2 linked regions of the Yarrowia lipolytica genome follow. The protein of the gene in region 2 purifies or fractionates together with the protein of the main gene of each other region. This does not show direct contact. Links are inferred from orthologs where the notes say so. Each region holds a gene or a part of one and is shown on either strand. Other genes may lie near its edges.

Region 1 (4,748 bases), on a different chromosome or scaffold from region 2:
TGAGGTATTTCCCCCGAATTATTGTACGAGTACGAGTACTGGTACATGCGATGCTGGCCAGAGAGCTGCCTGGCAAGATCGATCCTTGTGGTCAAGGAAGTACAACGTGCGACAGTCGGACATGTCTTGTTGACTCTTGTGGATGACAGGGAAGTGAAGCAACTACCAGGGGTATTGGGCGACCGTTTTGGATGAGACAAGTTCTCAGTCTGTTCAGACCAGATGCTGATACCTCAGACATGGATGGTGGAGTGACGCAGTTTGAGGTGAAGAATCGATAGACCCAAGTACTTGTACTACACCAGTAGTCATATTGGAGCTCTTGGTGAAGAGTTGTACAACGCTCTCGGATAGTGTCGGCAAAATATGGGTCTACGGCTACTGAGATCCATCTGTACTTCATTTCAGGGCTACCAGACGTATCTCACCCGTAGGGGGTACAACTGTCACCAGTATGGTAGATACAAGGTCTCCCGCAGCGACACAGGGCTTGGACGGACTCCCAATGTTACTATCCACTTATAGTAAAGGGACCGGCACTTCCGCTCTCTCTATTGTCTCAAGCTTAACTACAGTCCCACAGTACATACTATACTAGGAACTGGCAAAGCTATACGCTCATTCTGCTGGGACTTTTGTGAGCAGAACAGACGGGAAGATTCCGTGGAGTTCTAGGAGTTCGGCGATTGAAGTCTCCACATTTCAAGTTATCAAGTCATCATCAAGTCCTATCAAGAGTCCCTTTGACCTAGTAGTGACCACTCACTCACTCGGGGAAATCAAGGTCTCTCATATGACTCTCTGCACGAGGTTCGCGAATGAGCTTCTTCTCCGAGCCGAATCTCAATGTCACCAATAGCAGCTCTTTAGGACTCTCACACAAGAGCACCTTCGAGTCCCGACTTCCAGCCCAATTGCGTCAGATTCACCACCACAGAAGGCTGGTCGAACTATGACAACATCCTTATCTGTGCTCGTCTCTTTCAAACCAATCACGGCTTCACAGTTACGAACCACAGCCCGTGCTAGAGTATGTACCTTGTACAATGCACTCGGTAAGACATATGAATGGCTTCTCGCTTATGAATCAGAATCCAACACTCACCATGGTGAATCTCAGTCTACAATACAATATCACCCGTGGTTCTACAGTTCAGATACACGCTCGCTTCGGTCTACACGTCCGTTCACTTTACTATGCAAAGTTCACTCGATAGGATACGCAATTTTTACTCTAAACTACACTTAGAATCGTCGCTTCTGGGAAGAGAGGAAAGAAGAGTGGGTCTCGAGGGGAGAGGGGGTGAGGGCAGTCTCGGTCCACAGGTTGGGGGTCAGGAAGCCGTAGGTGTTGGCAATAGCAATGAAGGTAGCCTTGAGGGTGTTCTCCAGGGTTCGGGTGGAACCGGCAGAAGAGGTGTAGACATCCTTGATACCACCGAGCTGCAGAAGCTTCTTGACAGCAGGGGAGGCAACAATGGAAGAACCTCGGGGGGCGGGGATGAGTCGAACGTTGACGGATCCACACTTTCCGGAGGTCTTGGTGGGGACGGTGTGAGGCTCACCAAGAGAAGAACCCCAGTATCCTCGTCGGACGGGGATGATGGCGAGCTTGGCAATGATGATGGCGGCTCGGATGGCGGTGGCAACCTCCTTGGCGGTCTTGATACCGAGACCGACGTGACCGTTGGAGTCACCAATGACAACGACAGCCTTGAATCGGGTTCGCTGACCGGCTCGGGTCTGCTTCTGGACGGGCTTGATCTTCATGACCTCATCCTCGAGAACGGGCAGGAGCTGGTCAACAATCTGGTACTCCTTGATGGGGAGAGCGTGCAGGTAGATCTCCTCCATGGACTTGATGTGACCGGCCTTGACAAGTCGACCAAGCTTGGTGACGGGAACCCATCCCTTCTCCTCGTCCTTTCGGCCTCGGCCTCGGCCACCTCGGCCACGGCCTCGTCCGCCACGGTCACCTCGACCACGGCCAAATCCACCTCGGGGAGCAGCTGCTTCAGTAGACATTTTTGATATATTTGTCGGTTGTGAAGATGAAATTCGTGGCTCGCTTTTTTCACTACCTGCAGTTGGGAGGAAAGAGTCTGTGACTGTTTTCCCAAACGGGAAAAATCATGTGACAGAGAAGAAGGCTAAACAATGGAAGCTTATTTGGGGTGATGAGATGGATGGGGAACGGGATAATTGGGGAAATTCAGATTAATGCACTCACCGATCTATTTAGAAATCGTTTTCGCCCGATTCAAGGAATAAATTCCCGGTACCGTTAGTAACGACAATTCATTAATACCAATAAAATCAAATTAAACAAAAATTAAGACCGAGAAGGTGTTGGAAAGGGTTTACACTTGAGATTCTGACACTTGTATGGCTTTTTATTATTTGTTCAGCCTTTTCACGTCTGTGGTAAGCGGTGGGAAGTGGTGATTAATCTGATTCAAAACGGAAAAAAGTCGATCAAAAGACTGTCATAGCTGAACATACAGAGCAGTCCGATTGCTTCCTGTTTGAAACGTTTATGCGCAGCCACTTGCAGATACTGTTGGCTGATTCTACTGAGCTGTTGGAGCTGGTCCCGCCTCTCCAGATCGTATAACGTTTTTAGCCAGTCCCATTGTAAAGACGGCACAGGCGGTGCGTGTAGTACCACTAACGGTCTACAATCCAGCTACAGTTTCACCGCTGTTTGGTAGTTCCAGGATTCTCGTCTAAACTGCTTTGCGCGCCAGCTTTAGTGGTTGGTTTCCGTTGGAATCTTGAATACGAGAGCTCGGAACTGACCATAGTAAGTATTTACATACTTGTAAAAAGGAACATTCATCACCAGCCTCCAATTCCAACCACATTAAAAGTAGATCATCACTTGACACAAGTGCGATTATTCATTTTCATGTTTCTCAGGAATCGACAACGACTGTGAACCGAACTACAAGTAGCCGACAAGTGTTCACCAAGCCCAGATTACGAGTGATGCTGTGATATCACATGTCCGCGACAACAGTTTATGTCTGAAAGGGTTATATTGACGCAAGCCCTCAGTAAAAGTACATTGTATCGTCTCAAAAACTGTTCGGTTCTCCTCTCCCATTTTTCGCACTGATTCCTATCAAGATTCCTCTTGTCGGAGCCGCTTGTGCTTGACTCTCGTATATTGCGGACCTCATCGCCTGTTTCATTAATACAATGCAGCATGTATCGTAATTACAGTACCTGTAAAAATTAAATTTATGTTTTTTTTTTTTTTTTTTGTTTTTTTTTGCACATGAGAAGAAAAATAAAACAATGGAGCAGGCTTTGCGGTGGTACTGGCCAAGTTACAGTACCCATTAACAGTAGCAATCCATGAACTCGTACTCCGTCGAATGATACAGCATCGCACATGTTCAACTAGTGCCACCTCCACTCAGCAAAGACAATAGATGATCAGGATCATCGCAGGTGTTTTTCTTGTGCATCTCAGCCAGCCGCCGCAACAGCAAACACAGACTACAGCCCCGTTTTGTTCCGTCCTGGGCCGGGTGCATGAGACCTGTGTGTTTCGACACGCCACTGCAGCAGCAAACATATCACATGTTTTAGCGAGGAGGGCAGTTGGTGGCGGGGCTGGGAGAAGAAGAGTGCTCTGGAGGACCACACACGGTATATATAAGACATTCGAAAGGACACAAAACACAAGGGCTCCTTCCCACATAGTTCCACATGTCTCTAATACTGCACACACCCTCCAATAGTTCCTGCCGACCTTCTGCTTAAGGTTCGCTTGATCGGCAAGTGGTTAGTCTAGGTTTGGAGTCAGGCGTCGTCAAGTTGCTACCAGTTATATTATCACCTCACACTTCCTTCCAACCACACAAAAAACCATCATGTCGTGAGTAACAACCCGGAGCTATTGGACGCCCAATAGTAAGGACCACACGGATACTGTGACGAGCAGTACCATGCCACATGACCTCAATGGTTCATCATACAAGACCGCAATGGCAGTCACCGGCTACAAGTACCCAGACGGCGAGTTGTACGAGACGACTCAGAGACTGTCCATCGCACAGTGGCCGAGGCAATCAAGACATGTTGACCAGGCAATTTGCACACGACGCCTCCCGCCACACACCGTTACTAACCCAGCCACACTAACAAGAACGAGAGCTACGCCGACGCCGCCCACAAGGCCCCCCCTCAGACCAAGGAGGAGAAGCAGTGCCCCGTTCTGACCCCTGGCCAGCAGGAGGAGATCGAGAAGAAGGCCGAGAAGGTCGAGAAGGAGTTCCGAAAGGTCGAGAAGGATGTTATTGCTAAGAAGGAGGAGCTTGCCGAGGAGCTCAAGAAGGACGGCAAGGCTCTGTCCGAGAAGTCTTCCGAGCTCTACGCCAAGATCTCCAACGAGCTCCAGAACCCCGTCGTTGCTGCCAACGTTGTTGTCGGCATCGTCGCTGCCATTGGTGTCGGTTACTCCGCTTACCAGAAGCACACCCGAGGTGAGCTTGACGGTAAGCTGGCCGGCATCTACGTCGGAGGCCTTGCTGCCTTCGGTGCTTTCCAGTACCTCATTTCTGCTCGATCTTACAAGAAGTTTGAGTAAGCCAATAATTAATTGATTAGAATGTGTATTTGCCCACCCTACCGCGACCAACTACTCGCAGCTTTTGAGTGCCTGCTTGTGCTTGTAGTTATTCTGACTAGTGTCGCCACCGTTGGCTATTTAGACCAGCTCCGGATGGTCACCTGGCGTT
Region 2 (5,790 bases):
AGTTTGGGTCATAACCTGTTGGCCCGCCAGGGCAGGGCTGTGTCGGTCATAACCTGTCTACCTTTGGAAGTTGGTCATAACCTGTGGCCCGCCAGGGCAGGGCTGTCGGTCATAACCTGTCTACCTTTGGAAGTTGGTCATAACCTGTCGACTGCCCAACTCATAACCTGACAGCCGCCCATGCATCAACGTGCATACAGGAGGCGTTTTCCTTGGTCATAACCTTTGTTGGTCATAACCTGTGGCGTAAAAAAAGGAAACTTCATTTGCCCGTTACCGCTCATGCCCCATCCACCTGACCTTCGCAGTGATTTCTTTGATATCCCAGATGCAGATGCGATACCTGCTGTCGATTCGGATTCCAGAATGCGATACGTTGATTGCGATACCCTTACCCTATACCCTAACCTGTTGATATCAGGCAAGAGCTGAATTGTGCTGTTTAGAGGCAACTGCAGGAGGCGGTGCATGTGAAAGCGTTATCGTGGTTCGGGAATTGCGGTGGCAACACCAGGGCTTATTGATTTATGGCTTGTAAAGTATGGGTTATGGCTTAGTAAAGTATGGTTTAGTAATGTATGGCTTACTACTCCACGGCTTACTCATCTACGGTTGACTAACTCAGAGCCCTTTTCGCCATTGGTTGGAGTGATCCAATGGCGAAAAGGACTCTGCCCAGAATTCTTGGCGTTGCCACCAAACTTTTGGGTGTCCTTTTTTTGACTAGGAATGTGGAGAATGGAGTAGGTTTTGTTTGCTGGCAAAGTTGAAGGAAGTGGGATTATGATGTGTTTGTGGTTGTTTGAATTGTCTTGTTTTTGGGGTCATTTTGGAGGCAAAAATCGGCAGTATTTTTTGGTGTTTGTTTGGTCTTAATCTGATTTCTGGCTGTGTTTTTGTGGCCGATTCGAGATTTCGATTAGATTTTATCATCTTTTTGTATCGTCGTATTAGCCACGTTTGATTTTGTTGCTGAACTCTGATTGTGGGGCGGCGGCGCGCAAAGGGGAAAGCGGTTTTGTCGGTTTTTAGGCTGCGAAACCGAAGGGAAACAGGGCGTTCGCGGTACCGTTGGAGTCACGTGATTTTTGCCTCTTTGCTGGGCGTTCGAATGGTTTTTTTTGGGCGGAATCCGGACATTTTGGGGTCGGTTCTTTTTGGGCGATTTTTTTATTATTTTTGAGACTATTTTGCCATTGGTCTGAAAAGTTTAATTCAATCAAGAAAACGATAAAGAAACCCAAAATGACAGAATGCAAAAGTGCAATACAAGAAATCATATGACGGCAACCCGAGCAGCGATAATCCCTACAAGTATATATAGGGCGGTGGTATGGTCCTTTTGACATCTTCACAGACAATCATCGACAGAGACTCAATTACCCGAGACTCAATCACCACCAGACCCATCTAACCAGTCGCTCAAGAAAAACTCCGCCGGACGTTTTTTTTTAATCCACCCGAACAATCTCACCAACTACCAAAATGGCCTGCTCTACCAACTGCCACTGCACCAAGCCCTGCACCAACTGTGCCTGCGACACCAAGTCGTGCTCCTGCGGACCTTGCAAGTGCGAGTCTTGCCAGTGCACCAAGGCTTGCGAGTGCGAGAAGAACCCCGATTGCAAGTGTGAGACCTGCAAGTGCGAGGGAGCTTGCAAGTGCTAAGCCCACTGATTTATTCAATTGATTTTCCGTTGAGAAGTACTGTATTTGTAGAGTAGTTTTCTCCGAATAAAAGCACAATTAGAAAATGAAGAAGAAAAAAGTAGGGGAAAAAAAACACATAAAAACTGAGTCGAGGGTGATTCTTGCAAACGCAGGTAGGCTCGCAAGTGTTGAATTTTCGACAGATTTTATTCAGATTCTTGCGTAGAAAAATGCTCACAGATGTATCGTGAATCTCCTAATAAATAAAATATAAATGTCGATTGGAAAATCTTATAATTTTAAAAGAGGTTTGTTTTTTTTTCTTTTTTTTTTTCTTAATTACTGAAAGAGAACTGATACATCTGAGAACTCTGGAGCTGAAAATTCCAGAATATTGAAAATTGCTAAACAACTGACACTCTTACATATACATTGATGGTTGGGTTGGGTTGTTGAATTTTCTGAATCATCATCCATTCCTCACAATTTGTATTTCTTTTAATTTTAAGTATTATTTAAAATCGAATTCCCCAACTATTCTTTGATTAATGTATCGCCACATCTAGAAAAAAATGGAAGTATATCTAGACAATATCTCCAGCCCCAATGATTTTTAGATCAAGTGATACCCCCACTCATCTATATACCTCACTTGACATGTTTACCGTTCCATGTGACAATTTTTCTGATTTTCCGATTTTTTCCTATATTGAAATTCAAATTACATTTATTAATTCCCCAAATAACCTTTGATCGTGCATAACCTCTTTTTTTTAAAAAATTCTACATCACTTATTTTCTGTGCACACCAACGCATCTAGAAGGACAACAACATGGACTGGGAACGCGAAATTTCGAGCGGAGCATCTTCGACACTGCTGCCCTCGACAGATCCCGATTACAAGGAGCTTGACGGGGTCACTGTCGATTATGAGGACCTTATTGACGAGGACGAAGAGGAGGAAGACGAAATCGTGGAGGACGACTACGAAGAGGAAATCACCTCGGGAAATGTGACTAAGCGGTACAACAAGCAGAAGAAGGTGGTTGCAAGCGTTTTAGGCGAAAAACCGGCACAACAGACCGCTGACAGCGACCTCAGCAAGTACACGGGCCGATTACGTATGGACGACGACTATCTTGATTCACTGACTCATCAGGGGCTTGCTGCACGTGATGGGCAGGTGAAGGGCAAGAAAAAGTCGTCTGGAGGTGGATCTCAGACAGGTGGCAATTCTGCTCTCATGGGGACCGCCACCAAAGACCGGGCTGATCGAGCCACTAATGAGCAGGTTCTGGATCCCCGGACCCGAATGATTCTGTTCAAAATGATCAACCGAGGAATTATTTTCGAGGTCAACGGGTGCGTTTCCACCGGCAAAGAAGCCAACGTGTACCATGCGTGCACCGAGGAGGGCGTTCATCGTGCCATCAAGATCTACAAGACGTCAATTCTGGTGTTCAAGGACCGAGATCGATATGTGAGTGGAGAATACCGGTTCAGACATGGCTATTCGCGCCACAATCCGCGCAAAATGGTCAAGGTATGGGCTGAAAAGGAAATCCGAAACCTCAAGAGATTGCATACCGCCGGAATCCCGTGTCCGGAACCTCTTCATTTACATCTTCATGTTCTGGTGATGGGGTTTCTGGGCGACAAAAAGGGATGGCCCAGTCCCCGGTTGCGAGATGCCAAAATCTCCGAGCTCTTTGCCAACCCTGCCGAGGAATACACTGCTCTGTATCATCAGTTGTGTGCGTACATGCGAATCATGTATCAGAAGTGTCGGCTAGTCCACGCCGATTTGTCTGAGTACAACATTCTGTACCATGAGCGCAAGTTGTACATTATCGACGTTTCGCAGTCGGTTGAACACGATCATCCTCATTCTCTGGAGTTTCTGAGAATGGATATCAAGAATTGCAATGATTATTTCCGGAAACATGGAGTCAGCGTGTTTCCCGAGAGAACACTCTTCCATCTCATTACCAGCCCGTTTCTGGAAGACATCAAAATCACCGACGAGATCTCCGTTAGTTCCCGGGAGTTGGTGGAGGTGGATGAAAAGGATGGTGAAAAGGGCGACAAAACGACTGGAGACAAGAGTGACGATAAGGCTGAAGATGATAAGAGTGAAGACAAGGGCGAAGACAAGGATGAACACAAGGATGACAAAGTTTCCGTAATCGATGACTCCACTACTGTCTGTGACACTTCTGCTACCATGTCTGGCCCTGCAGAGGCGAAAAAACGAATGGAGGAAACAGTCGACTCGCTCACCGCATATATCCAAGCGATGCCCATTGAAGAGTCCACGGACCAAATAGAGGCCGATGACGCCGTGTTCCGGTCGGTCTACATTCCCCAGAACCTCGACCAGGTCTATGACGTCGAGCGAGACGTGGAAATGGTCAATGCCGGCCAGGGCAAGGATCTCATCTACTCGTCGCTCATTGGCAAGAAGGACGAGGAAGAAGACCAAGAGATGGGCTCGGAAAGCGAGTCTGACAACGAGAGCATTTCGTCGATTGACTCGGAGGAGCGCGAACGGCGGTTCCAGGAGAAAAAGGCCCTGACCTCGAAACTGGGCAAGAAGTTTGAAGACAAGGATGCTAAAAAGGAGCGAAAGGCGGCAGTCAAGGAGGCTCAGAAGGAGAAGCGCAAGGAGAAGATGAAGAAGGCCACCAAGAAGAAGCTGATTTCCAAGTCCAAGGGTAAACATTAATTGGCGTTGTAGTGGTGACGAGTTGTCGCTGGAGATGTGCAACGACCTTGTCGACGGCAATTCGATACCGGCGCCTTCTTGAGTCTGAACATGCTGGATCTGTTGACTGTACTTTACTCCTACACCCAGTACCCAACCTATAGATTATGTATTGTTAAAATCCAGAAATGATAGACGAAAAGAGAAACTCTGCCCGGTAGACGTTAGTTTCAGCCTTCTTAAGAAGTTTTCACGACCTCTTCACGTGATGATACAGTGTTATTTTCAATCCGTTCTCACTTGGTCCAAATGATGGGAACTCATTTCAATACTGTACAATTACTGTACAAATACTTAACCAATCAACAAAATTACTTGGACTATCTGAGAAAAATGTTGTTTGATGCAAAAAAAAAATAGTACTACCAAAAACATAAAAATTATATGAATATATCTATCCGATTTTTGCACTTTGGTTATATAAGCGGGCAAACCATCTACTGGAATATACCACCAAAGGCGACTGGTTCGAGGAGAAGCAAAAAGTCTCTAGTATGCAAAAACATATTTTTTTTTCTATTTTTTTTGTATTTTTTTTATTTTATAGTATTTTTTTATTTTATAGTATTTTTTTTATTTTACAGTATTCATTTATTTTATACTATTCTTTATTTTATCGTATTTGTTTTATATAGTATATGTTACAAAAAATGAGAAAAGTACGATTGTTTCGATATAGTCAACATAACCACTTACAACTCACTTCCCCACGTAGCACGCGCTAGAAGAGTGCTTACTCATTCACCAGAGAGAGATTCTAGATGAGCAGATATACCACCAGACACGCCACCGGATACACCATCAGATAAATCATCAGATACACCATCTACAGGAACAACTTCTTTACAACCAGCTGGTTCCTCTCATGATCATGTGGGGAATTGGCGGGTATTACTTAAAAAAGTGCCCAAAACGCCAGGAGCACGAGTGCCACGCGCAAACATAGGAACATTCAATTTTAGGGTCATATCAGGAGATATTGACCTCGGGTTCTCATTGTCTTGATCGGACTCTGGAGGATGTCACGCGCATCTAGTCGCGAATAGTCGTCACGAGACACCACAGATAACGCCACCCACGCTGTGCTAGAGACGTTTGAAGTGGGTAAACGTGTTTGATGTGCAGGATCTCACACAAGCCGCCCTATTGGAGGAGCATATCAGAGACATTGGTAATGACACACGTTTACCAGAGATGTGGTTCGTCAATGCCCAGAGCTTCTTTGAATCGCATGAGCTCCTTTCGGAGTACTTGAAAGTAGAGTCGCCCTCTGGACCACGACTATCCAGAACGCTTCGAGCGGCCTGAAATGACGATTGCAGGCAGCGGTAGAGTGGTTTGCGGTCGTCACAGTCCGAGAGGGCAGCGGAAGACG

The links. The genes of interacting proteins can lie anywhere in the genome.
Region 1: the proteins of YALI1_C30795g (region 2) and YALI1_E17466g purify together in Saccharomyces cerevisiae (affinity purification with mass spectrometry; 3 studies listed by BioGRID). This does not show direct contact. The link is inferred for Yarrowia lipolytica from reciprocal best matches to the Saccharomyces cerevisiae genes RIO1 and RPS2.

Annotation. Positions count from the first base shown.
Region 1 is NC_090774.1:1,744,589-1,749,336, forward strand, and holds YALI1_E17466g (40S ribosomal protein uS5), read right to left. Parts: upstream 2,026-4,748; coding exon 1,246-2,025; downstream 1-1,245. Other genes in the region: YALI1_E17484g (uncharacterized protein), read left to right, coding at 3,882-3,886, 4,144-4,597. UniProt on the Saccharomyces cerevisiae protein: Component of the ribosome, a large ribonucleoprotein complex responsible for the synthesis of proteins in the cell.
Region 2 is NC_090772.1:3,076,245-3,082,034, reverse strand, and holds YALI1_C30795g (uncharacterized protein), read left to right. Parts: upstream 1-2,483; coding exon 2,484-4,376; downstream 4,377-5,790. Other genes in the region: YALI1_C30760g (uncharacterized protein), read right to left, coding at 5,501-5,790. UniProt on the Saccharomyces cerevisiae protein: Required for the final endonucleolytic cleavage at site D converting 20S pre-rRNA into the mature 18S rRNA. Required for the final steps of cytoplasmic maturation of the 40S ribosomal subunit.